3 linked regions of the Diceros bicornis minor genome follow. The protein of the gene in region 1 purifies or fractionates together with the protein of each later gene. This does not show direct contact. Links are inferred from orthologs where the notes say so. Each region holds a gene or a part of one and is shown in the gene's direction. Other genes may lie near its edges.

Region 1 (7,307 bases):
TGGGCCTCATACTTTAGAGTGACTCACTCTAACCCTTCTCACATTGTGCCTTTTCCTATGGGGTGAGGAGTCTGCAGGGCCAAGGGAACATGCCCACCAAAGCCCATGCCCACCCTTTCCTTATCTGGACCAAACTCTGGATACAGAAGATCTCAGTCTTCCCAGTTGAAACAGTCCTGAGCCTCATTCTGGGGCCTGCATGGACTTCTCCAGAGCCCTTTCTTCTGAGCATGGATTGAACTGCCAGTGACACACCCCTAAGCCCATGGGATAGTCAAGGAGCATATGTATGTGAGGCGGGATGGAGCTTGGATGTGTGGGCTGGGGTGTATTCCTCACACTGAAGGACAGAGCCTGGGGCAGGAAGAGAAGGAATGTGTATCTAGAGCTGGCTCTCCCCATGTGACCTCATCTGGCACAGACAGGAGTAGGACTGAGTCCTAATAAAGGCATCTTCAAAATTTGTCTGGCTGGATTTCAGAACTGTTGTGGACTCCTGTGTATCTCCTGTTTCCCTCTTTTTGACCAGGGGTGTCTTTAGCAGTTATCCTGTGCCTATCCCACTCTGTGTGTGTTAGATGTGTGTGTAGGGGGCAGACAGCTTCTCTCTTTACTTCATAGGTCTTCAAATCAAGAGGAACTGTACTGGAGTTGCTGCACTTAAGGAACTACACCTGAGAGGCCTCTTGCTGATGCTATAAAGGCTGGAGGTTTTGGGGAAGTCTTGGGAGGGAATCAGTGTATTTTCTGTTTAGGAGAAATAGAAATAATGTGACCAGAGGATCGACTGTGGTGATTTAAAATATGTCCACAAATCCTTTGACACTCCTTTCAAAAGGTGGAGCCTAATTGCTCTTCCCTTGAGTGTGGACTAGTCTTAGTAACTGACTTCTAACAAAGAGAATAAGGCAGAAATGACAGTGTGATTCCTGAGGCTGGATCATATAAGACATTGCGCCTTCAGTCTCTCTCTCTCTCTCTCTCTCTCTCGAATCACTTGCTCTGGGAGAAGCAGCTGCCGTGTCATGAGGACACTCAAGCAGCCCTATGGAGAGATCCACATGATGAGGACCTGAGGCCTCTTCCCAATAGCCACATGAGGGAGCCATCTTGGAGGTGGATCCTTCAGCACAGTCAAGCCTTTAAAAGACTGTAGCCCCAGCCAACATCTTGACTGCAACCTCATGAGAGGCCCTGAGCCAGAACCACCCAACTAAGCCATTCCCTAATTTCTGACCCACAGAAGCTTCCAGATAATAAAATGTTTGTTGTTTTAAGCTACTAAGTTTTGGGGTAATTTGTTACACAGTAATAGTAACTAATACTCTGTCTTTACCTCACTTGAGTGCTCCTCAGGATGTGACACTGTTGAGTGCTCCTTCCTCCCCACTGCTCTCCCCTTTGGCTTCCAGGAAAACACTCCCTCCTGAGTTTTCTTTTAGCCTCTTACCCAGACCTTTCTCCTAGGCTTCATAATTGCCTACTGGACAACTCCATTTAGATGTGGCCCCTGGCTCCTCATACTTATCCGAAATTGAATCATCCTCTTTACTCTCACACCTGTCCCTCTTCCTGTAGCCCTTCCGACAGTGAGTAGAACCTTTGTCCTCCCAGTTGCTCAAGCCAGAAATGTTGCTCCCAGCCACCCTAGACTCCTCCTCATTCACTGTTTTTAGGACCTTCAGTATTTAGCTCCAGCCAACATCTTTACACTAATCTCTCAACTTTTTCTACAGGTTTTTCCAGCTTTACTTACTTGTGGTTTCCAAATGATTCTTGTCACTTCAAGCCCCCATATGGCTTTGCACATACCTCTTTCTAGAATTTTGCGTTTCCATCTTTGACCTTAGGGCTTTTTAATTTTGATAAGTCCTACTTTGAAACTTTAGTGCAAGCGTCTCCTCAGCCTGACTGTGCCCACAGTCCTCTGTGGCAATATACTTTTACAAGGATGTTTGCATAGCAAACAGCCTTTGGAAATAGAGGTAGTGTCTCCTTCTAGGGCAGAGGCAAGATTTAATTTCCTGAGAAGTACACTGTAATGTCTCCCTCTGGGGCAAAGGTTGGGCAGGTTTTTTAGCAGCTCCTTATAAGCAGGGGGTTTCCTAAGGTCAGGATTCCTGAACTGTGACATAAATACATGGTGTGCACAGCTTCTACCTAGGTGCTCTGCATCACTCCTGTGGGACGTAGAAGGCAAGTGGAACTGATTCCACCATTAAGCTTATGCTGCCTGCTGTGCCACAAGTAACGAAGTCTTTTGTCTCTGACCTTCGAGTCTCATGTCTTCAGCCAGCATCTATAAACTTATGAACCTATGGCAAGCTAACTTGCTAGCTTGTAAGTAGGGTAAAATCTTAGACCCTTCACAGTTCTTGACACCTATATACACATGACTTTAAGTGCTTGAGAGCAGGAGCTGCGTCTGAATGGACTTTGCTTTCCCTGTGGGTGACACAAGGTAGTTGCTCTGTAAGTGGTGGCTGCTACTAATGCTGCTTTGGTCTAAAGGGCTTTGGAGGTAAGCACTCAGATACATTTACTGAATCCAACTTTGAAGTAAATTGCCGTGTTTCTTCTCCTGGTTATTAGGTATTGTGTACATTCCTTGGGTTTGTAGAGGGTGAAGCCTCAGATCAGTGTTCTGTACAAAGTGAAATTTTCTGGAGGTTAAAAATGCTACAGATAGTTCACAATGTGAATAAGCCTTACTGCAGGTAATGGAAGTGACTGAGCAGAGACTAGGTTCTTCTGGGAGGTGGTGTGTTATGCTGCAGTTGGAATGGGAAGTCAGTCTCTGCTATTAGCCTCACAACAGCATCAAACAGAGCCAGAGCAGACCAGCTCCCAGTGGAGCAAAGCTGATTTCAGACCAACCTGTCTGAGCTTGAATGAAAGAATTAATCAGTGCTTTTGGTGCCTGAACTGTTAGGAGCAAAGACTCCTCTCTTCTTCTAACCCTTTACATGAGTAATCCCAACCATGACCAGGCAAGATTGCTGGCTGGGTTTGCTCATGGGAGGGATATCTATCAGGCTGCAGCTTTAATCCGGTTTTGGATTGTGGAAGCCTATCTAGCTATGCTTTTCCTGGTACAGGAGAAGGGTGGAACCTTGGCAGCATTTGACCAGAGGTGGCTTTCAGAGCCAGAGGAAATCAGGGGGAAAAAGTCTTTGCTCATAGTCTGTGGCTGATGGCTATTAAAGACCACTTCATTTGATTTAAACCTGTCATTTTATAGATAAGGAAACTGGGGTACAAAGGGGATAAATTGCTAAGATGGGCGATTGATTCCGGAGCCTCGAGTGACCCCATTTCTAGCTCGTTAGGCTTTTTTTCTGTTCCCTTGGCTCCCTCTTCCTGTACACCCAGGAACTTGAGTGCAGCATTCTAATGCCTGGTCAGCATGATTCCTAAATTTTCTAGCAGGCTTGACTCACCAAGACAGCGTGGGTTCTGTGCATGTGCAAAGCAGTTCCATCCCTAAGCGGGCAGAAGGCGGCAGAAGAGGAACCCTAAGCACGGACGGAGGGTGGGATGGGAGGGGCGGGGCACCTTGAGATGTGCTCACGTTTGTTCAGGGACCGGCATGCCGAGGCCAACAGAGCCTCTCAGGCGGAGTCCCGCTCAGCATGGCGATTACACCGCCGCGGGAAACAGACGAAGGAAGGGAGGGCGCGAGGGACTGGAAGTGGTGACCCTGTGCCCCACTCGTTTCTCCCTGGGCCTGGACAGAGAGACGGTCTTTCAGAAGCGCACGTCGCACTTGCCTAGGGTAAACGGGAGTAAGGCTCAGCTACTTCCTTCCAGACGATCTATATGGCAGACGGCCTCGGCAGCTTCAGAGAACCACAGTCGAGAAACATAGTCGAGAGATGTACGTGACTTGCGGGGTGCGCAGCCACGCCCAGCCTCGCAGGGCTCCGCGCGGGCACGCGCCTGACGCCCCGCCCGCCCGTGACGAGCGCGCGCGGGGCCTCCGCCCCATCCCCCGCCCGTGCCATCCCCGCCGCGTTGCCTCTGCCGTTCCCCGCCCCCTCGCCTCTGGGGCTGCCCTCATCGTTGCCTGACCCGAGGTCCAGCAGCTTCTGCCTTTCCGGCCCCCGCCGACGGACGGAGGCGGTCCACTCCGGGGGCGGAGGTGCTCTCGGCCCACGAGGCCGTTCCGGAGCGGGTTGGAGTGGGCAGCGGGTGGCGCTGCGGAGACAGGCGCGGCGGACAGCCCCGGGGGCAGCGGCGGGGTCCTGGCGGGGGGAGGATAGGGTTGCGGCGGGCGGAACGGTGTCTCCTTCACTTCGCCCTCCAGCCGCGGCAGCTGCAGCGCGACCCCGAGCGAGCCGAGCGGTCTTAGCTGCGAACGGAGCGGCGGCGGCGGTTCTTCTCAGGAGACCAGCAGGTACCGCCGCGCCCGCCTCACTCCGACCTGGGAGTCTAGGCCTCGGCGGCTAAGCAGGAGGCTTGAGCCGGACTCGGGGTCGGCCCTGGCTCCCTAAGATGGCCGCGCTGCCCCGCGGCCCCTCGCCTTTCTCTGTTTGAGACCCCTTTCTGGCCTCTTGACCCGCCCCTCACCCCCGCTGACCGCACTTATTTTCTCTCCGGCAGATCACTTCTTCCCGCGGCCTCGCCATGACGACCTACGGACAGAGCTGCCCGCGGCGTAAGTGGAGAAGGGATCTCTGCGGGCTGGGGTGGCGGTGTCCGGGGAGTCGAAGCCTGTGGACCAGAAAACCGCAGCTTCTTTCCCCCCATCTCTCCAAGGACTTGGACATTCGCCCCTTTCGGTAGCCACTCCTCGGTCCTGACTCCCCCCGTCTCTGCGGAGGAGGGGCTGGGCTGCTGGATTTCGGATAAGAGGCCTAGGCCAGGGGAGTTGGTCTGTGGCTGCATTCACTTTCAGTTTTTGGACGTGTCTTTGACCAACTCAAAAGCAGAAAGTTATTTGTTGGATTCAGCCTTTGGAGGATTGGATCAGTCACTTTTCTAGAGGAAGTAGTAACTCCTCTGAGAGAGCGCAAGGTCATTACATGTGCTCCTAAGGGCGTGGACGTGCTTTGTAGAATGAATGAGCTAGTGTAAGTAGATCAGATTGCTTGCCCTTAAGCCACACAGCATTGGCCGAGGACTTGAGTGTCATATTAGTATGTTTAAAGTGCCGTTGGATAGTTAGTTGATGTAGACACTTGAGTGAAACATAGATGGCCCTTTTTTCCCTAAGTTTCAATATTTAAATTCCCATAGTGTAAATTAGCTTTCTCTTCCCACTCCAGAATGTTGGTTTTGACCTCAGTGAGGATACTAAGGGATATATTGGGGGAGAGGGCCTTGTGTTAGGTTTTGATTTCATCTCGTTTGGGTAAATCAGCCCGTTCCAGTGAATTTTGGCGGATATATCTGTATGTATAGATATATATGTGTGTATATGTTTGCATCTTTGTACTAGTCCAGTCCTAGGCGTTGAGGCTGTAGGCACTGTGTATAGTTAGGAATAGGAAGTCTGTTTTTCTATTTTGTAGAGAATTTCCCGAGTTCGTATAGCCACTTACTGTGGTTATCCATTTTAGAAATAAGCCTTTGTTGGTGATATGTCCTTCGTGGATCATTAGAATACAGTTTTATTGTAGCTCCTGGTGGTGTCAAAAACACATCTTCAACAGGTTAGACTGCTTGAATTTAAAGATAGCAGTGGGTCATAATCTAGTTCTTGGACAGAAAGTGGGAGAACTGCAACATTAACACTGGAATGTTTCTTCCCACCAGCAATGTGTGTTCCTCCCTCATACGCTGACCTTGGCAAAGCTGCCAGAGATATTTTCAACAAAGGATTTGGTAAGAACTTTTTAAAAAAATTTTAGATCAGAAGTGAAAATGTGTTTGGATTTCTTAGGGAAATTAAATTAGTAATTAAAATTGTAAATATTTTATTGTATTCTTCTTTTAGATAAATTTTAGATAAAATTTCTGTTAAAATAGTTTTGTAACAATCCACATCCCCTTCTACCCCAGTTTCCTCCAATTTTTTCAAACTCTAGTTTAAGGATTTTATCTTTAGGAAAAAAAACAACTGTGTTTTCATTTCCTTCAGTTATAGCTTATGCCGTGGTTGACTAGAATTAGGATATATTACTGTATTTTGCTTTTGTGGTGGTGACTCCTAATGGGTTATGTGCTTTGTCATTGAATTTGGGTTGTCTTGAAGATTTTTTTCCACTCCCGCCCTTTAGATTATTTCCCCAATTATTTAGATTTTTTAATCCCAAAGAGAGATATCCCTTTGGGATAAATGTTCTAAATGTTTGTATTATAATAAACTATTGGCTATTCTGAGATTTAAGTTGAATTGATTCTCTGATCTGGTATTTAGGTTTTAAAATGGTTTGAAAGCATTTTTTTTTTGGTGCCATATATACACCAAAACACTATGCAAAGCTGCGTAGAGTGGTTCTGTCCTTTACCTGTCAGTTTGCATAGAATAATTTAAAATTTTTTCATTTTAATACTGTGTATCAACATACATTTTTATCCCCTTCTGAATATGTGAAATCTTTTTTGAGTCAGCTCAACCAAGAGCTGACTACTTTTTTATGTGTGTAGTCAGCTCTTGGTTTGCATCTTTCATGTGAAAGAATCATTTTGTTATCTTTTGCTCTCTTCTTTAAGGTTTTGGGTTGGTGAAGCTGGATGTGAAAACAAAGTCATGCAGTGGCGTGGTGAGTGTTAGATATTTCATAAGTTCTGATGAGCCTTTATGTAGTATTCAACCTATAAAATAGTCATAACTGAAAGATGTCTACCCATTTTATCTTAAAGAAGAGGCAGAAGTTAATTTTGTTTTAAGGGATTTGCATGTAACTTGATTTATTTTGGCTTTGGATATGATTTCTTTTTTTCTTTCTTTCTTTCTTTCTTTTTTTTTTTTTGTGAGGAAGATCAGCCCTGAGCTAACATCCATGGTAATCCTCCTCTTTTTGCTGAGGAACACCGGCTCTGAGCTAACATCTATTGCCAATCCTCCTCCTTTTTTTTCCCCAAAGCCCCAGTAGATAGTTGTATGTCATAGTTGCACATCCTTCTAGTTGCTGTATGTGGGACGCGGCCTCAGCATGGCCGGAGAAGCAGTGCGTTGCTGCGCGTCCGGGACCCGAACCCGGGCCGCCAGTAGCGGAGCGCGCGCACTTAACCGCTAAGCCACGGGGCTGGCCCTGGATATGATTTCTGATTTTCTTGTGGTTTACTATGTATGCACAAGGAATTCGGGAAAGACACTGGCCATGTGGGACTCTGTTTACTCAGTAAAATTACAAGCTTGA
Region 2 (6,826 bases), on another chromosome or scaffold:
TTTTCTTTTTTATTTTATTTTGGACATAGGGCATTTTCTCTGGCATGCTAAATCCAACTTTTATAATGGAAAAATAAGAATTGCAAAAATTTTAAAACACTTTAAAAACTCTTAAAACTAAAACATGCATCTAAACGGAAAAAAATCAGAACAATAGTTGCAAGAGGGGCCAAAGAGGACGGATATATGGGCAAGGATTAACTGGGAAGAGGCATGAGGAAGCTTTTGGAAGTGATGGTGTTATTCTCTATGTTGATGGAGGTTTGCACTACAGGAGTACGTAAATGTCAAAACTCACTGAGCTTCAGATTTGCGCATTTCACTGAATGCAAATTTTATAGAAAGAAAGTAAATAAATATTGAACTCTAGTTAATGATATGTCAAATATGACATATTTAGGGATGAAGTATATGGATGTTTGTGACTTACTTTGAAATGCATCAAAAAAATAAGTAAAAAGGTGGCTAGATCAGGAGACGGGTATGTGATAAATAGTCATGGGCTGCATAAGGACATTTCAGTCAACGACAGACCACACATACAACGGTGGTCCCATAAGATTAGTACCATATAGGTGTGTAGTACGCTATACCACCCAGGTTTGTGTAAGTACACTCTGTGATGTTCGCACAATGACGAAATCGCCTAATGATGCATTTCTTAGACCCTTTCCTATCCTATGAATTCACTGAGACATGATGATATAGCAAATCACTGATTGTAGAATCTAGATGGTGGATACGAGTGTTCATTGTAAAATCCTTTCAACTTTTCTGTAGTTTTGAACATTTTCACAATAAAATTCTGAAAAATGTACCTAAATCTTTAAAATAAAAAATACATGCTTTCGTTTCTCTTCCACAGTATTCACTGCAGTGCTTTTCACATTTAGGGTACTTATAAACAAAATGTAATGGTTTCATAGCCTTAAAAAAATATAAACATTGATTAATTATTTGTGAGTATGCCAATTAATCACAGTTTATAATTTTATCAAATTCATCTAAACCTAAATGTTTACAGCGCCTTCGCTTAAGTTCTTATGTGCTTCTGAGGCAGAGGGGCAAATATTCTCATGCTCATTTGCAATGAGGTTAAATGATATGCCAAGGCCAGTTCTGGAAAACCAGATCTTCTGACTTTTAACCCAGGATATTTGCCATTATAAACCACACATTTGGAAAAGTCCTAGAGAAACTATCTAAAAACTTCCCCCAGGTTTCATTAATAAGACTCATTTTATGATCTTTTTATTTACATTATCTCTGTGAATGGAACGGTTCTGCAAGACAGTCTAGCTTTTGCCCCACTTACATCTTATTGGACCCTCCAAAAGAAAAATCTAAGTGTTCTTTAAGCACTGATGGATGTTTCAACAGCTAAAACAGATCTTTCGCAATTTGGTTTTAGAGGTTCAAATAATTACAGAGATGGAAGCAGTTTTAAATGTTACTTAACAGATTCAAAAGTTAATTCCTGAAGGGGTTAAGTGATTAGCTCTCAAAGCTGTTAATGGCAGAAGGAGTACTAGAACCCAGAACATATAACTCCCTAACCAGGGCTCTTTCTGATTAACCTTAAGGCTATCATTGCTCAATTATCTGAGCTCATTAACACAAGTTAAATCATAGTACTAATGTGACAAGACCAAGGCCACAAATGGGCCAGTTAATCTTAAATATTCCATATACTTTAGAATCCAAGCCTTTTTTCTATCTTAAGATTTTTACAACTATTTGTATTTGTTGGCACTTTGATCACATTTGAAGTCGGCTGCTGTTGTGCTATCTATCATCTGAGGAGCAGGTGAAGTGGTGAAGAGGGTTGGAAACGATGATAGAAAGACCGAACAAAAACTTCTTTGGCCAAATGATGTTTGTCAAATAATTCAGTTTGTTGAGGTTATCTTCAAGAATATCACTCCCTACAAAACGGCTCAAAGCAGAAAGCTTACTACAGAGAGGTCAATGTTATGTGAAATAATTTTTCAATGTCTTTAGCTAAAATAACATTTGTAAGGTCATGATTTTTTAACTCTTTACGCAGCAGCACATTTATGCCTACATTGGAACAGATACCTTTCACAGCAACTTGGTCAAAATTCGGACCCCTGTTATTTAATTCCTAGGCTTAATAAGTAGCCCTATGCCTCTGGTGATTGAATACATAAAAGATACAGCCTTTTTCTTAAATGTTACCTTTTCTCGAATGGCTAGGAAGGCAGTAGCACCATGTCAGGTACTAGAATTAATCGACCCCCCAAGACTCCAAACGTTCTGCCCCATCAAAATAGTAAAACCTGTACCAAGTTTTTTGGTTTGTTTCATCAAATAGATAAGCTCTCCTTCACTTTCTTCTCTCCTATAAATGCTCAACTTAAAGGACGGGAATGGCTGAGGCTAGGAGCTGAGTTTGCGGATGGCTAAAAGGTTGTTACAATCCCTACCCACCGGGCCCGACTTCGGCTTTCCACCGCGGAACCACCCAGAGTTTCCCGGTGCAGTTGCTGACGGCCTGGGCGGCGCAGGAAAAACCATGACCCCCACCGAGCACCCTAGCTCCTTAAGGCCAAGCCCGCGCCCCCATGACCTCCAATGGCTCGAAAAAGGAGCCTTGAATTGCCCGCTTCTCCAACAACTGGTCTGCACTCCCTCCCAGGCCAAAGCAAGAACAGGGTCCGGGGACAAAAGCAGGGATATGCCTGTAACATGAGGAAAACCGCATCACCTGGAACTCGGCGAACTCCTCACAATTCACACCGCCACTGGGCGCCGCCATATTGGACAAACGCGAGGCCCCCGCCGCAAGCCAATCACCGCGGAGCAAAGGTGTCCATGACGCCGCCTGACAAAAAAATAATTCCCAAGGGAATCCGCGCGAAAGCTAAGCACAGGGTTTGTCTTTTCCGTGATCCTCATCCGCGTCGAAGCCTGTATCCCTGCTATCCCTCTTTTTACTCTTATCCCTTTAACGTATTCTCCTGCAACTGGCCCAAGTGCATGGATCGAAGAATGTCAGAATTGGAAGGGATCTTTCTACTCCAATCCCATTTTCTTACAAAAAGGGAAACAATTTTGTGGTTGCACCAACCAGGTCGTTCCAGGAGGAAATCTACAGTAGATTTTTACCTCTCGTCCCTAGAGCAGAGGGGCGTTTGTTCGTTAAGAATTTGGGACCACTAAGAAATATAAAAAGACATTTCTGGCAAAGTGGGGTAAGGGTTGAATAAGTTGTTTAGGTGTGGAAATATTAAAATGTTTAGTTTTATTTAAAAAATAGGCAAATAGCGAACAAAATAGGAAGCATACATGTGAATTTCTCAAGTAGCTTGATACTCCCAAATCCAATAAGAGATGGGGGCCACTGGTCACTAGGAGCCCAATTACGTGTTTTTGATAAAGGCAAGTAGTCACTGAAAATACTAGCAAAAGTGTATTGAAATAACTGGTTTATGTAGGCAGTGTGACTTCGGGGTCTACAGTTCACAAAAGTTCTACATTGAGCACATTACTTTTCTTCTATTTTAAACGGGTACTTCTTTGGACGCAGAGAACGATATTGCAAACACCCAACATGCCCAGACTCCACCAAAGAATCCTTAAGGACGCCTCCAGGACGCGGCGCGCCGCCCGCACACTCGGCTCGCCACGCACGTCCCACACGCTCCGCGCAGCACGCAGGCCCCGCCCGTACGACCCGCCCGCACGCCCCCCGCGATACTCTCGACCTCCTCGCTCCGCCCTCACGTCCCACACGCCCCGCCCCCCAGCGCCGCTGGCGTCCTTCCCTAGCGGTGCTCGATGACATTGAGCGCACGGGCGCCGCCGCTGCCGCTGAGGTGCTGTGCTGGTCGGCGGAGTAGGCGGCCATGGGGAGCCTTCGCGGCCTGCGGCTGGCGGCGGGTGAGACGCGGGCCGGAGTAGGGGAGGGCTGGAAGCCAGGTCGGCGGTAGGGTGGAGGAATCCTGCAGCGTCCCCAGGCCTGGGAGTCGCTCAGTTCCATCACGCACTCCCGTCAGGTTGCTCGGAATCCTACCCCGTGGTAGTAATAATGGGAGACAGCAAGAGCTGAGCGAGGAACTGCTGAGCAGACACTGGGGCCTGGCCCGAGTGACCCTCGCACCTGGCTGTGCATCCACGCAGCTCCCACTGACTTAACGAGCCCTTGCTCCCCGATCCCTCTCCTCCGCCCCGCTCATCCCCAGCCTCCCCTGAGCTCAGTTCTTAATGCACCTGCCATCCCTAGAACTCACCCATTGCCTTTTTCATGCAGCTTTCCACTCTAACCTCTCCCGTCCGTTACTCCATTTGAGTCTTAAGTCTGGCTCCCTCACCCCCCACTCCCCACCATCTCAAGAGTTTATCCTTGCTCTCAGAGAAAACCTCAAGTCTAGGGTTTCCTACCCATTTAGTGTTTGATTAGGCAAAGATTTGAGGTCTCACAGAAGAGTAGTAATTGTTTTCTTAACATGGGGTATGCATTTCTTTTAAACAATTTTACAATTGAGTACTTCGAATTTCTTGGAGAAAAGTGTTATGTAAATACAGGATCTGCAGTTTGATTTCCTAGTAGATATTTGTGTAATTCGTATTTGGAGTCAGAGCTTAATTCACCTTTTTTGGGAACCAGCAGAGCTTTGTTTAGTAGGGACTGAGAAATCAGAATATTTGCCTCTTGGCTCTTTTCTAGGCACCAGGGCAAATCACTCTTTTGGTCGCCTTTATGAGCTTTGATAAGGTGTAATGATTGATCTTTTATTCCTTGGTACCAAATTACTAAAAAGTTGTTTAATTCAAATTTGAAAGGAAGAATTGCTCCAGACTTGGCTATTGAAATAATGTAAATGTACATTGTAAATATAAATGAAGTAATGTAAAAAAAAAAAGTTATCCTTTACATGGCTTACTTTGTGTTCCAGTGGAGGGTGGACTGGAAAACATGTCTCAAATTGGAGAATATTGTTTACTTCCTTTAAAACAAACACTCCCTTCCACTGAAAGAGGTTGATTTTATTGATTTGTTCAGCTTTGTTGAACTAATTTGCCTAAAATCTTTTGTATACCTCCTGTTAACTTTTCAGCAAGGTAAGTGAAAGAATCACTGCCCTGTAAAAAAGTTGAAACAGACTGAGTGAAAGGGGTTTGACTACATAGGGACTAAGACTATGTGTAAGTATTTCATCTTCTTGCCTTGAGAATATATTTATTCGTTATAAAGATTCCACAGCCTCTCTGCAGACTTTTGATCTTTAAGAACTTCACTATTGGGCACTCAATCAACAAAATTCCTTGAGCAATTTAAGAACGATTTATTTTACCCCAGATAGACCCATTGAGGATGTTATAAGAGCAACTCTTTCCAGAGTCTACTCTGAATGTCTGATGTTTTGTGAAGAACTCAAAGCGATCTTGCTCAGTCTTTCACCCACTTTTGCCCATTTTATAGCTAAATACTTTGACATACATTATTTTACTTGATTGATTATTCATAGTAGCCCTCTTAGGTAAGTCTTAGCCTCCCCTTTCTGTTTTACAAAAGAATAAACATGGGTCAGAGGGTTAAATGACTTGTCAAAGATTACTTCGCCATAAAATGTTAGTGCAGGAGATGAGTCAGTGCTCTAATCCAGGAATTTGTGCTTTTGCTTTGTTCAAGATGCTTATTCAGGATAGGTGTGAATACGTTTTTGTCATGCTAATTGAGTCTCTGCTGTGCAATGGAAGAGTCATGAAATGCAGATCTACGTGTGAAATGGAAGCACACATTCATGTGCAAATGAATTTTCAAGTAAGAAGACTGAACAGGCAACCTTAGCCAAAGGAATGGTAGATCAAATAGAAACATAATCTAGGCACACTTCGCTTATCCAGAATATCATTTGGGATAAGATGCTCTGGGTGAGTGAAATTTTAAATAGCCAAAGCTTAATCTTTTAAATGATGGACCTTTATTTTTAATTGTTTCTCTTGGAAATCTTTGCTGTACTCCCTTAGGGAACAGAATATAGGCTTTTATGAGCTTGAATTTGTTTATCGTTTCATAGATATAGCTGTAGATATAGGTCAGGGTTCTTACTTGTGGTTCTTAGGCCTCTTCTCAGATGAGAGGTCCTGTGAACCTCTGAAATTATATTCAAATTTTTATGATTATATACCTGTTTGGGGAAGTGAGGGTCCGTAGCTTGCATCCTGTAGCTTGCATCCGTTAGTCAGATGCAATCTGTGCTCTCTCAGTTAAAAAGCATTGGTGATAAGATCTGAAACTAAATGGCTACTCACCCACACTACTGTGGGTTCCAGGAGGGTTAAGACTGGGTCTCTTTTGTTTTTACTAAATCTTCAGCACTTATCAGTGTCCAACTCATAGTAGACAGGCAATAGATATTTTTTTTGATAACTATTTTTAATATTTTATTATATTGGAAAGTAATTATTTTTAATAGCAATTATTACTTTGTACAGAATAATTATTAGGTCAGAGGAATGAAGTGGCCTTACAAGAATGTTTCTTTTTTCTTTTTTTTGTGAGGAAGATCAGCCCTGAGCTAACATCCATGCCAATCCTCCTGTTTTTGCTGAGGAAGACTGGCCCTGGGCTAACATCCGTGCCCATCTTCCTCCACTTTTTATATGGGATGCCACCACAGCATGGCCTGATAAGCGCTGTGTCCTGCGCGCCCGGGATCAGAACCCCGGCCGCCAGCGGCGGAGCAGGAGCACTTAACCACTACACCACGGGGCAGGGGGGGCCCACAAGAGTGTTTCTTAACACCTTCAGAAACGTTGTACTGCCCTAAACTCCTTTATCGGCAGATTTTAAAATGAA
Region 3 (8,015 bases), on another chromosome or scaffold:
TTGGTACAGCAACTTAGACTCTAACTAACATCCCAACTAATACAAGCACTGAAAAGCCAGTCGGAAGCTTCGTGTACATGAGTGCTTGTCCAGCATGGGTTTCACTCTAAGGTAATGGCTCTCTAGGTGTGGTCCAGGTAACCTCGGGGTCCTTGAAGGGTCCTTTCGGGGGGTACCTGAAGTCAAAATTATTTTCATGATAACACTAAACCATTATTTACCTTTTTTACTCTCATTCTCTAGAGTGTACAGTAGAGTTTTCCAGAGGCTACATGACCTGTGATAGCACAACAGAATCAATGAAGAACTCGAGATTTGCAAAAATGTAAAACAATGCCACTCTTCTCACTAAATATTTTGTTTGGGAAACTTTAGTTATTTTTCATAAAAATATGTTAACACAATGAGTTCATTGTTATTTTTAAATGAGTAAGTAAATATTTCTAAAATTTCTCATTTTCATTTTGAATATATATAATCCAAATTTTATTTTCTTATTTTATTTTATTTTTTGTGAGGAAGATCAGCCCTGAGCTAACATCCATGCCAATCCTCCTCTTTTTGCTGAGGAAGACTGGCTCTGAGCTAACATCTATTGCCAATCCTCCTCCTTTTCTCCCCCAAAGCCCCAGTAGATAGTTGTATGTCATAGTTGCACATCCTTCTAGTTGCTGTATGCGGGACGCCGCCTCAGCATGGCCAGAGAAGTGGTGTGTCGGTGCGCGCCCGGGATCCAAACCCGGGCCACCAGTAGCGGAGCGCATGCACTTAACCGCTAAGCCACAGGGCCGGCCCCATATAATCCATATTTTAAAAGCTCTTTGGGGTACTTAATAACTTTTAAGAATATAAAGGGATCCTAAGATTAAAAAGTTTAAGAACTGTTGCACTAGGGTGACCTGCCTGGGCTCTTTCATTGAGGATTTCCAACTGTTAGGATCTGTAGATTTTTCTTTTGGGCTGGTTGTTTTCCCCACAGAGGAATAATTCACTCTTCTGCTGAGAAACTTTCAAGGACTTTTTGGCAAAGCCTACAACATCTGGTGCTTGCTTATTTCACCTTTGTCATCTTGTGTAACTCTCCCATTCACTCATTATGGTTTGGGACACATTCATCTTCATCTTCGTCTTCACTCGGTTCTGTCAATGGCCCATGCTCTGACCTGCCTCAAGGTCTTTGCACTGTAGGGAGATGACTCCACCATGGCGCCCTGGCAACCTTGTATGTCTCCACATAGTCCACATAGGCAAAGGCTGGAAACTCAGCTGAATCTAAGTCTTGGCAGAATGCCTTGTGATCCTCCTGGAACACAAGGGAGGCTTGTGAGGAGCTTCTACAAGGCCATTTCTCACTCACTTCCCTATCTACCTGGAAAGTTGTCATGAGGCAGTTTCTCATAGCCTCCAGGTTGTGATGAGGTCTGAAGCTTTCTGTCTCACTCCTCCGAGGATACAGTTGCAAAGTATAATACTACTTAGCTGCAGCAGGGCATTAGCTGCTCAGCAACAGAGTATCCTAACAGCTGTGTTGCAGTCATCTGGCCCCATTTGTTTCAGTGTTGCCCTACATGAGGGCCACTAGGAGCTCGCACCTTTGGCTACTCTTCCTTTTGGCGTGTATGTTAAGTAATAAACTGTCTGAATCTAAAAAGAGTTCCTTGTCTCTTTACCAGCCACATCTATCAGTCATGCCTTGCCATGTGGTTCACATGCACATGGTATTCCCTCTGCTTAAATGCTCTCTTTCCACCCCCCCAACTTTATTCACATCTTACTGTTTTAGATCTTGCCTTAAATGTCATCTCCTCATACAGACCTCCTTGACCAGCTTGTCCAAACTAGACCCCTTGTGACAGACACTTTTGGTTGCAATTCCAACACCCACTCTCCCTTCCATCCTGTTCCTGGCTAACGAGAACCCCAATGTTGACTTGTTAAGGTATTAGGCAGTCATGTGGTTTAGGAGAAGCCAGGCCCCTCCCCACTCCCAGACGATGGCTCTTGATTTGTTGAGCTCCAACAAGGCAATTTTATTCCTTTGCCAATGACTGGTCTAGAAATGGGCAGATGATAAAATTCTGCCCAACAAAACATAAAGGGATATCTGGTGCGTGCTTCCGGGAAACTTTACCTCACTCTTAGAAGGGGACCCAAAAATGTGACTTGCCCTTTTCCTGCCTTCTGGCCTTTGGTTATTGTTTTGTGAGAACATTAAGTTTGGACCTTCTGCAGTCATCTTATGGCCTTGAGAGGACAATGCCTGAGGACAAAAGTCAACACCTGAAGATGGCAGAGCTGAAAGAAGGAAAGACTGCATCATTGATGGCCTTGGCGAGCCACTAAATTCACCAACCCCAGAACTGCCCTACTACGGGACTTGTTATTTGAAATAATGTATTTCCTTTTTGTTTAAGCCAATTGAGTCCACTTTTCTGTTACTTGCACTCAAAACCTTCCTGACTGAGTCACACAGCCTCCTATTGTCTGCTTATTTCCTTCATGAAATGAGTCAAAATTTCATATAATTTATTTCTTTGTGTACTTGTCTTTGTCTGTATACCACCCTCCCCTCACCCCAGAATGTAAACTCCATGAGGACAAAGTCCTTCTCCATCTTCTTCGTCACTGTATCCCCATTGTCTAGCACGACGTCTGGGACATGCTAGGCCTCCAATATATGTGTGTTAAATGAATGAAGAAAAAGAGAGGTTCTTCTATAATTGTTTGCTTTAATTATCACCCCTCCCATGTTGGCACTGAACAAGGAAGTAGAATCAATCTTTGTTTGGATATGACTTACGGATCACCCATTCCCACAGCTTGGAAAAGCACAGGCTAGGGTATCAGACATATCTGCCATTTATCAGCTGTGTGACTGTAAGCAAGTTACTTGACTTCTCTGAATCTCCATTTCTTCATTTCCAAAATGGTGATACGAAAATAGGGCTAAATAAGGTTATGTATTTAAAAAGCAACTGGTCCATAGTCGGGGTTCAAGATATATTTGTTCTTGTCCTCAATCTGTACACCTGACTGGGGAAAGGGGCTGAAGGGGAAAATGCTCTATGTAGCAACGAATTGGACCCACTCCTAAAGCTGATGCAGCAGTGCGACTCTGTCCCTAATCTCTGTCTCACTACAATTAAATTATTCCCAGATACCCTCCTCAGTGTCCTTATCCTTCATCCTCCCCATCTCTTCACCTGTAACTAGCCCAGGTCCACATGATGCCCTCATGTCACGTGAGCCTTCCCATTGCCTTTACTTTGCAGGACAGAATGTGGGGAGGTGGCAAGAATATAGGGCTTAGACTTAGAAGACCTATGGTCCAGTCCAGGCTGGCTCTGACCAGACGAGCGACCATGAGCAAGCCATTTAACCTCTGAATGAATTATAAGACATTCTGCAAAAATTGGTTTCTTTTAATATCTTCAGCATTCTTGTTAGTGAGATTAGAATAGAAGCAGATAAGACTAAGGCTATTCTTGCAGGATTCCGGAGCAGCCTGTCCTGTGTTTCCTGACCACAGCCTAACCAGCCACTTCAACGCCCTTCATTATTCATTCATTCAACAAATACTGATTGAGTGCCCACTGTGTGCCAAGCACTGTTGTATGTTCTGGGAATAGAACAATAAAGAAAGCAGACTAAACTTTCAGTCTCATAGAGCTTTCATTTTAGTAGTCAGAGGAAAAAATTGTGGTTGGTTAGAGCAAACTCATACCACCTGAAGAGTGCTGCCATGGATATCTCTGATCATTTGAGTGTGCCAAATGGGGACAAAGAAGGGGGACAGAGAGGAGAGGAGAGAAATGCAGGAAAAAGAAATTGAAAGAATCCAATCCTACTAGAATCCAGAAATGGGCCTGGTTTTGTTAAAATTAAGTGTCCCTACATCAGTTAGGTAATGCCCCAGCTAAGAATGCAAAACCTGAATCTAATCATGAGGAAACATCAGACAAACCCAAAATGAGAAACATTCTTTTTGCTTGTTTGTTTTAATGTAATAAAAGACAACGAAGGCTGAGGACAATTTTCGGATTAAAAGAGACTAAAGAAACATGAAAAATAAATACAGTACCTAATCTTAGACTGCATCCTGTATGGGGGAGGGTGGAGACTACTATAAAGTTCATTATTGGGTCAATGGACAAAATTGGAATGCAGAGGGTAGATTAAATTTACTCAAGTTATATAAGAGAATGTCTTTATTCTTAGAAAACACAGAGAGAGAGAGAAGAAGGGGGGGACAGGGAGGGAGCAAATGATAAAGCAAATGGAGCAAATTGTTAGCAATAAACGAATTCGAGTAAAGGATACATATGTTTTTTGTACTATTCTTGCAACTTTTCTAAATAAAACTTTTTAAAAAAAATTGTGTCCAGGGGACCCGGACTCTAAGCCGAGACTTTTGTTAAATCAGTGCATGACCCTGAATGAATCCCTTCCTCTCTCTGGGTTTCAGTTTTCTGGCCCAGATGGTTTCTAAGGTTCTCTGGCTCTGGCAATCAATGTCCCACGACTGAGGACATTTCCAGACAGGGCTTTGGAAACCAGACAGTCCCTCGACTTCCCTCAAGATCTCTCAGCCCACCAGTTATTTCACAGCTTTCCCCAGAGTGCCCATCCAACCTGTTTCATCAACCGTAAATTTGCCCCTGTCACTCTTTCAGACGGCCCTCCCGGCCTATCTCCCTCAGGCTCTAGCACCGGCGCAGGATAGGCACGTGCATTTATCCCCATGGAACTACAGGCCCCAAAAGGCTTTGCGGCCACTTCTTGGCGTTTACCACCAAAGAGAAAAGCCTTTTCAGCGCAGGCCAGCCGCTGCATGGCTCTTTGGGAAATGTAGTTCATTAGTGAGGAGCCGGGGAACCAGAGTCAGGAGGCCAGCCACCCTTCCCAGAATGCACCACGCTCTTCCCCACCAATCAGAGGTGCGGATCTTGGAAGGAGGGCGGGGAAGAGGAGGAGCTGCCAGCGCATGCGCAGTATGTGAGACTGGGGAATTCATGTGGAGGTCAGTGTGGAAGCAGGTGAGAATGGAGGGGTCCAGTCTGGGCGTCTCTGCAACCTTCCTCTGCACTCCTCTTCGCAATTTGTGCAGGCAGGTTGCGTGCGTTTGTCCGCCTCGTGTGGGAGGGGAAAGGGGGTGAGCCCGGGACGAGCCAGGGGTGGCGTAAAGTAAGGGAGGTGTGTATGGGGGCAGGGTGAGGAATAATGCAGAAGCTATTAGAAGTGGAAAGGCCGAGGGGTCAGGACTGGGCGTCCTGGCCTCGAGAAAGGAATTTTTAAGTGCATGGGGGGAGGTCAAGGTAGTCTCAGGAGTTGAAACTGACGTGGACGATGATGGGCGGGGCATTAAAAAGTTAAGTGCTGTAGTAGATTCTAGTTGGGTCAGCCGTGCTCCCGGCACCCCCTCTCAGCCCCACCCTCCCCTTCTTCCAGGGCTCTGCCGCGCCGTGCAGCTGTTTAGAGCCTTTCTGCCCAATTGGTTCTTCTGATATCTTGATCCCAGGAGGTCATCCAGCTCCTGCTTCCATAATAACAGGGCATTCTTAATACCTGATGTTGAGAAGCAGTATGATGAGGAGTTAAGCTGTGCCTTCTAGAATTAGACCTGTAGGTTCTAATCCTGGTTCTGCCACTTAATAGCTGTGTGATCTTGGGCTCCTCATGTAACTTCTCTGTGTGCCTCAGTTTCTTCATCTGTAATAGTCTACTTCATAGGGGTTGGTGTGAGGATTAAGTAAATTGCTGGTAGGAGACTGCCTGGTATGAAGATTAGCTATTATTATTTTTGCTGTTGGAATCCGTGTAGCACATTCTTTGAGTTATTTTTCCAAACCAAAATTCCAAAGAACCAACCACACAGCCTCTCTCTTGGGGCCTGCTTGTCCAGGAAATGGGAGGGTGGTTTCCTGTGGTGCTGAGTTCTTCTTGGGTATCAAGCCCATATCTCATTCCCATTATTGAACCAAGTGCCCAGACCCCTTTTCTTAAGTGGTAGAAAAAGAAGGAAGAAATGGGAAAACAAAAAAGCAAAGGAATTGATACTACCCTTTTCTAAGCTATGGAGTGTCATTTATTAGGTGTCCTTCAGTGGATGGTTTAGAGCTCCACAGTGGGGAATAAATAGCCAGCTTGAGAAGTGAATATGGTGCCTCAGACAGGGCTTTCTCTGAGGATTTTGGGATCAAGTTGCTTTGTTTTGTTTTTACCCCCTCAGGTGTGAGTGGGTCCAGCAGAAGGAGACATGGCTGCCAAAGTGTTTGAGTCCATCGGCAAGTTCGGCCTGGCCTTAGCTGTGGCGGGAGGCGTGGTGAACTCTGCCTTGTACAATGGTAAGACACTGAGGGGCGGTGGGTCATTGCCTTTTGCCGGAAGACGTCTGTTGGTCTCCACAGCCTATGTGACACTCCTGATGGCAGCCGCTGTCTGTGAATGTGTTTGTGACCAAGAGGGCTCACCTGCTGCCATCCCACACTGTATGGTTGTACTGTCATCAGAACCTCTGTCCTTGTAGCTGTAGGTTCTCTCAGAGGCTTTATTCACAAGGAGCCTCCCAGCCCAGTTGCCATTGGATGTTTCCAGCTGCTCTTGTTAATTTGAAGTGATGCCACGCCACTCAAGTGTTGCAGCAGAGTGTCGCGATTGCACAGCCTGGCCGAAAGGGAGCTCTCCTTTGTTCCCTTCTGCCTGTGTGTGGACTAACTCAGCAAGGGCTTTAGACCTTTGGTGACCTTGTCCTCGGCAGGAGCTTCTGCTCTGCTGCAGTTGGGTCGTTCCAGAGAAGTATCTTTGAGATGCGTTGCCCAGCTTTTAACAATGTGGCAGGGGTTTACGCAGGCTTTTCTTCCACTTTCCTGTGTGACCTTAGGCGAGTTACTTCCCGCTCCCTAGGGGTCGGCTTCTTGATTGGTCAAGCAATGCCATTGAACTGGTTCGTCTCTAAGACCCCCTCTAACTCTGATATTCCCTCACTTTCTTTTCGGAAAGCGGATTGACCCACCTCGTGTGTGACTATCTGACAGGAGGAGGATTACTTCCAGAGTGAAGATATTTGGACCAACTGTAAAGTCCCAAAAGGCAGGGGCGGAGACAGTCGATCAGAAAAGCCTTGGCTTATATGGCGCAGTTTTATCCTCTGATCTTTTTGGCTACCCCTGCACAGCTAGACCATAATTGCCATCACTAATTTCTCGCTGAACCAACAAGACAACTCTATAACCCCTTAAAACCTTAAAGAAACCAAGCTATTGGAAGGAAAGAGTAGGACCTTCCATGTTCTGGGATTCCCCTAGCGAGGGTGCTGCTTCTGGGAACACTGGGTTAAATTGGAGCTAGGATGGAATGTGGTCACAGTGAAGACCTTGGTGCGTTTTAGAAAGAAGTTTGGGGGGTGGTTCCTGGAAATGTATTGGTGGGAGTTTGGGGATGAGGTAGTTAATCAGAAAACCAGCAACCAGTTGTTTCGAGGTGAAAGGATGCTGAGGAATAGATCCTATTACCAAAGTCCTTGGGAATACACGTGGGATAGGAAGTGATTGCTTAGTTTTGTAGCTATTTAGAAGCCTCTAGGGACCAGAAGAGTGGGAAGACAGAGGAAGAGAGCGGAGACGTAAATGAACAAGAAACACCAGGGATCTTTCAAAGGCTCAATCCTTTTGGTTCAAGAGTGAGGGGATTTTTCTGACCCGTCATTACCCTTCATTCCTAGTGGATGCTGGGCACAGAGCTGTCATCTTTGACCGGTTCCGTGGCGTGCAAGACATTGTGGTTGGGGAAGGGACTCACTTTCTCATCCCTTGGGTACAGAAACCAATTATCTTCGACTGCCGCTCTCGACCACGTAACGTGCCAGTAATCACTGGTAGCAAAGGTGAGTCTTGCCTGGGGGTCAGGTAAAGTAGAGAGTGTGGAAGGGGTGCTGTGGGTTCCAGAAGAGATTGAATTTCCCATAATAAGACTTCCTAGCATATTTTCCCTGGAGGGTTTTATATGGATTTATAGAA

Evidence for each region. Proteins that work in one complex are often made in the same cells at the same time.
Region 2: the proteins of VDAC2 (region 1) and FAM162A fractionate together in Homo sapiens (co-fractionation; 3 studies listed by BioGRID and IntAct, with this or other methods). This does not show direct contact. The link is inferred for Diceros bicornis minor from reciprocal best matches to the Homo sapiens genes VDAC2 and FAM162A.
Region 3: the proteins of VDAC2 (region 1) and PHB1 purify together in Homo sapiens (affinity purification with mass spectrometry; 4 studies listed by BioGRID, with this or other methods). This does not show direct contact. The link is inferred for Diceros bicornis minor from reciprocal best matches to the Homo sapiens genes VDAC2 and PHB1.

Annotation. Positions count from the first base shown.
Region 1 is NC_080745.1:31,598,974-31,606,280, reverse strand, and holds the start of VDAC2 (voltage-dependent anion-selective channel protein 2), read left to right. Parts: upstream 1-4,287; 5' UTR 4,288-4,396; intron 4,397-4,602; 5' UTR 4,603-4,626; coding exon 4,627-4,657; intron 4,658-5,757; coding exon 5,758-5,826; intron 5,827-6,657; coding exon 6,658-6,707; intron 6,708-7,307. UniProt on the Homo sapiens protein: Non-selective voltage-gated ion channel that mediates the transport of anions and cations through the mitochondrion outer membrane and plasma membrane.
Region 2 is NC_080754.1:23,233,365-23,240,190, forward strand, and holds the start of FAM162A (protein FAM162A), read left to right. Parts: upstream 1-3,808; 5' UTR 3,809-3,869; coding exon 3,870-3,903; intron 3,904-6,826. Other genes in the region: protein MIX23, read right to left, coding at 2,729-2,779. UniProt on the Homo sapiens protein: Proposed to be involved in regulation of apoptosis; the exact mechanism may differ between cell types/tissues.
Region 3 is NC_080757.1:36,732,807-36,740,821, forward strand, and holds the start of PHB1 (prohibitin 1), read left to right. Parts: upstream 1-4,997; 5' UTR 4,998-5,036; intron 5,037-6,229; 5' UTR 6,230-6,256; coding exon 6,257-6,344; intron 6,345-7,720; coding exon 7,721-7,882; intron 7,883-8,015.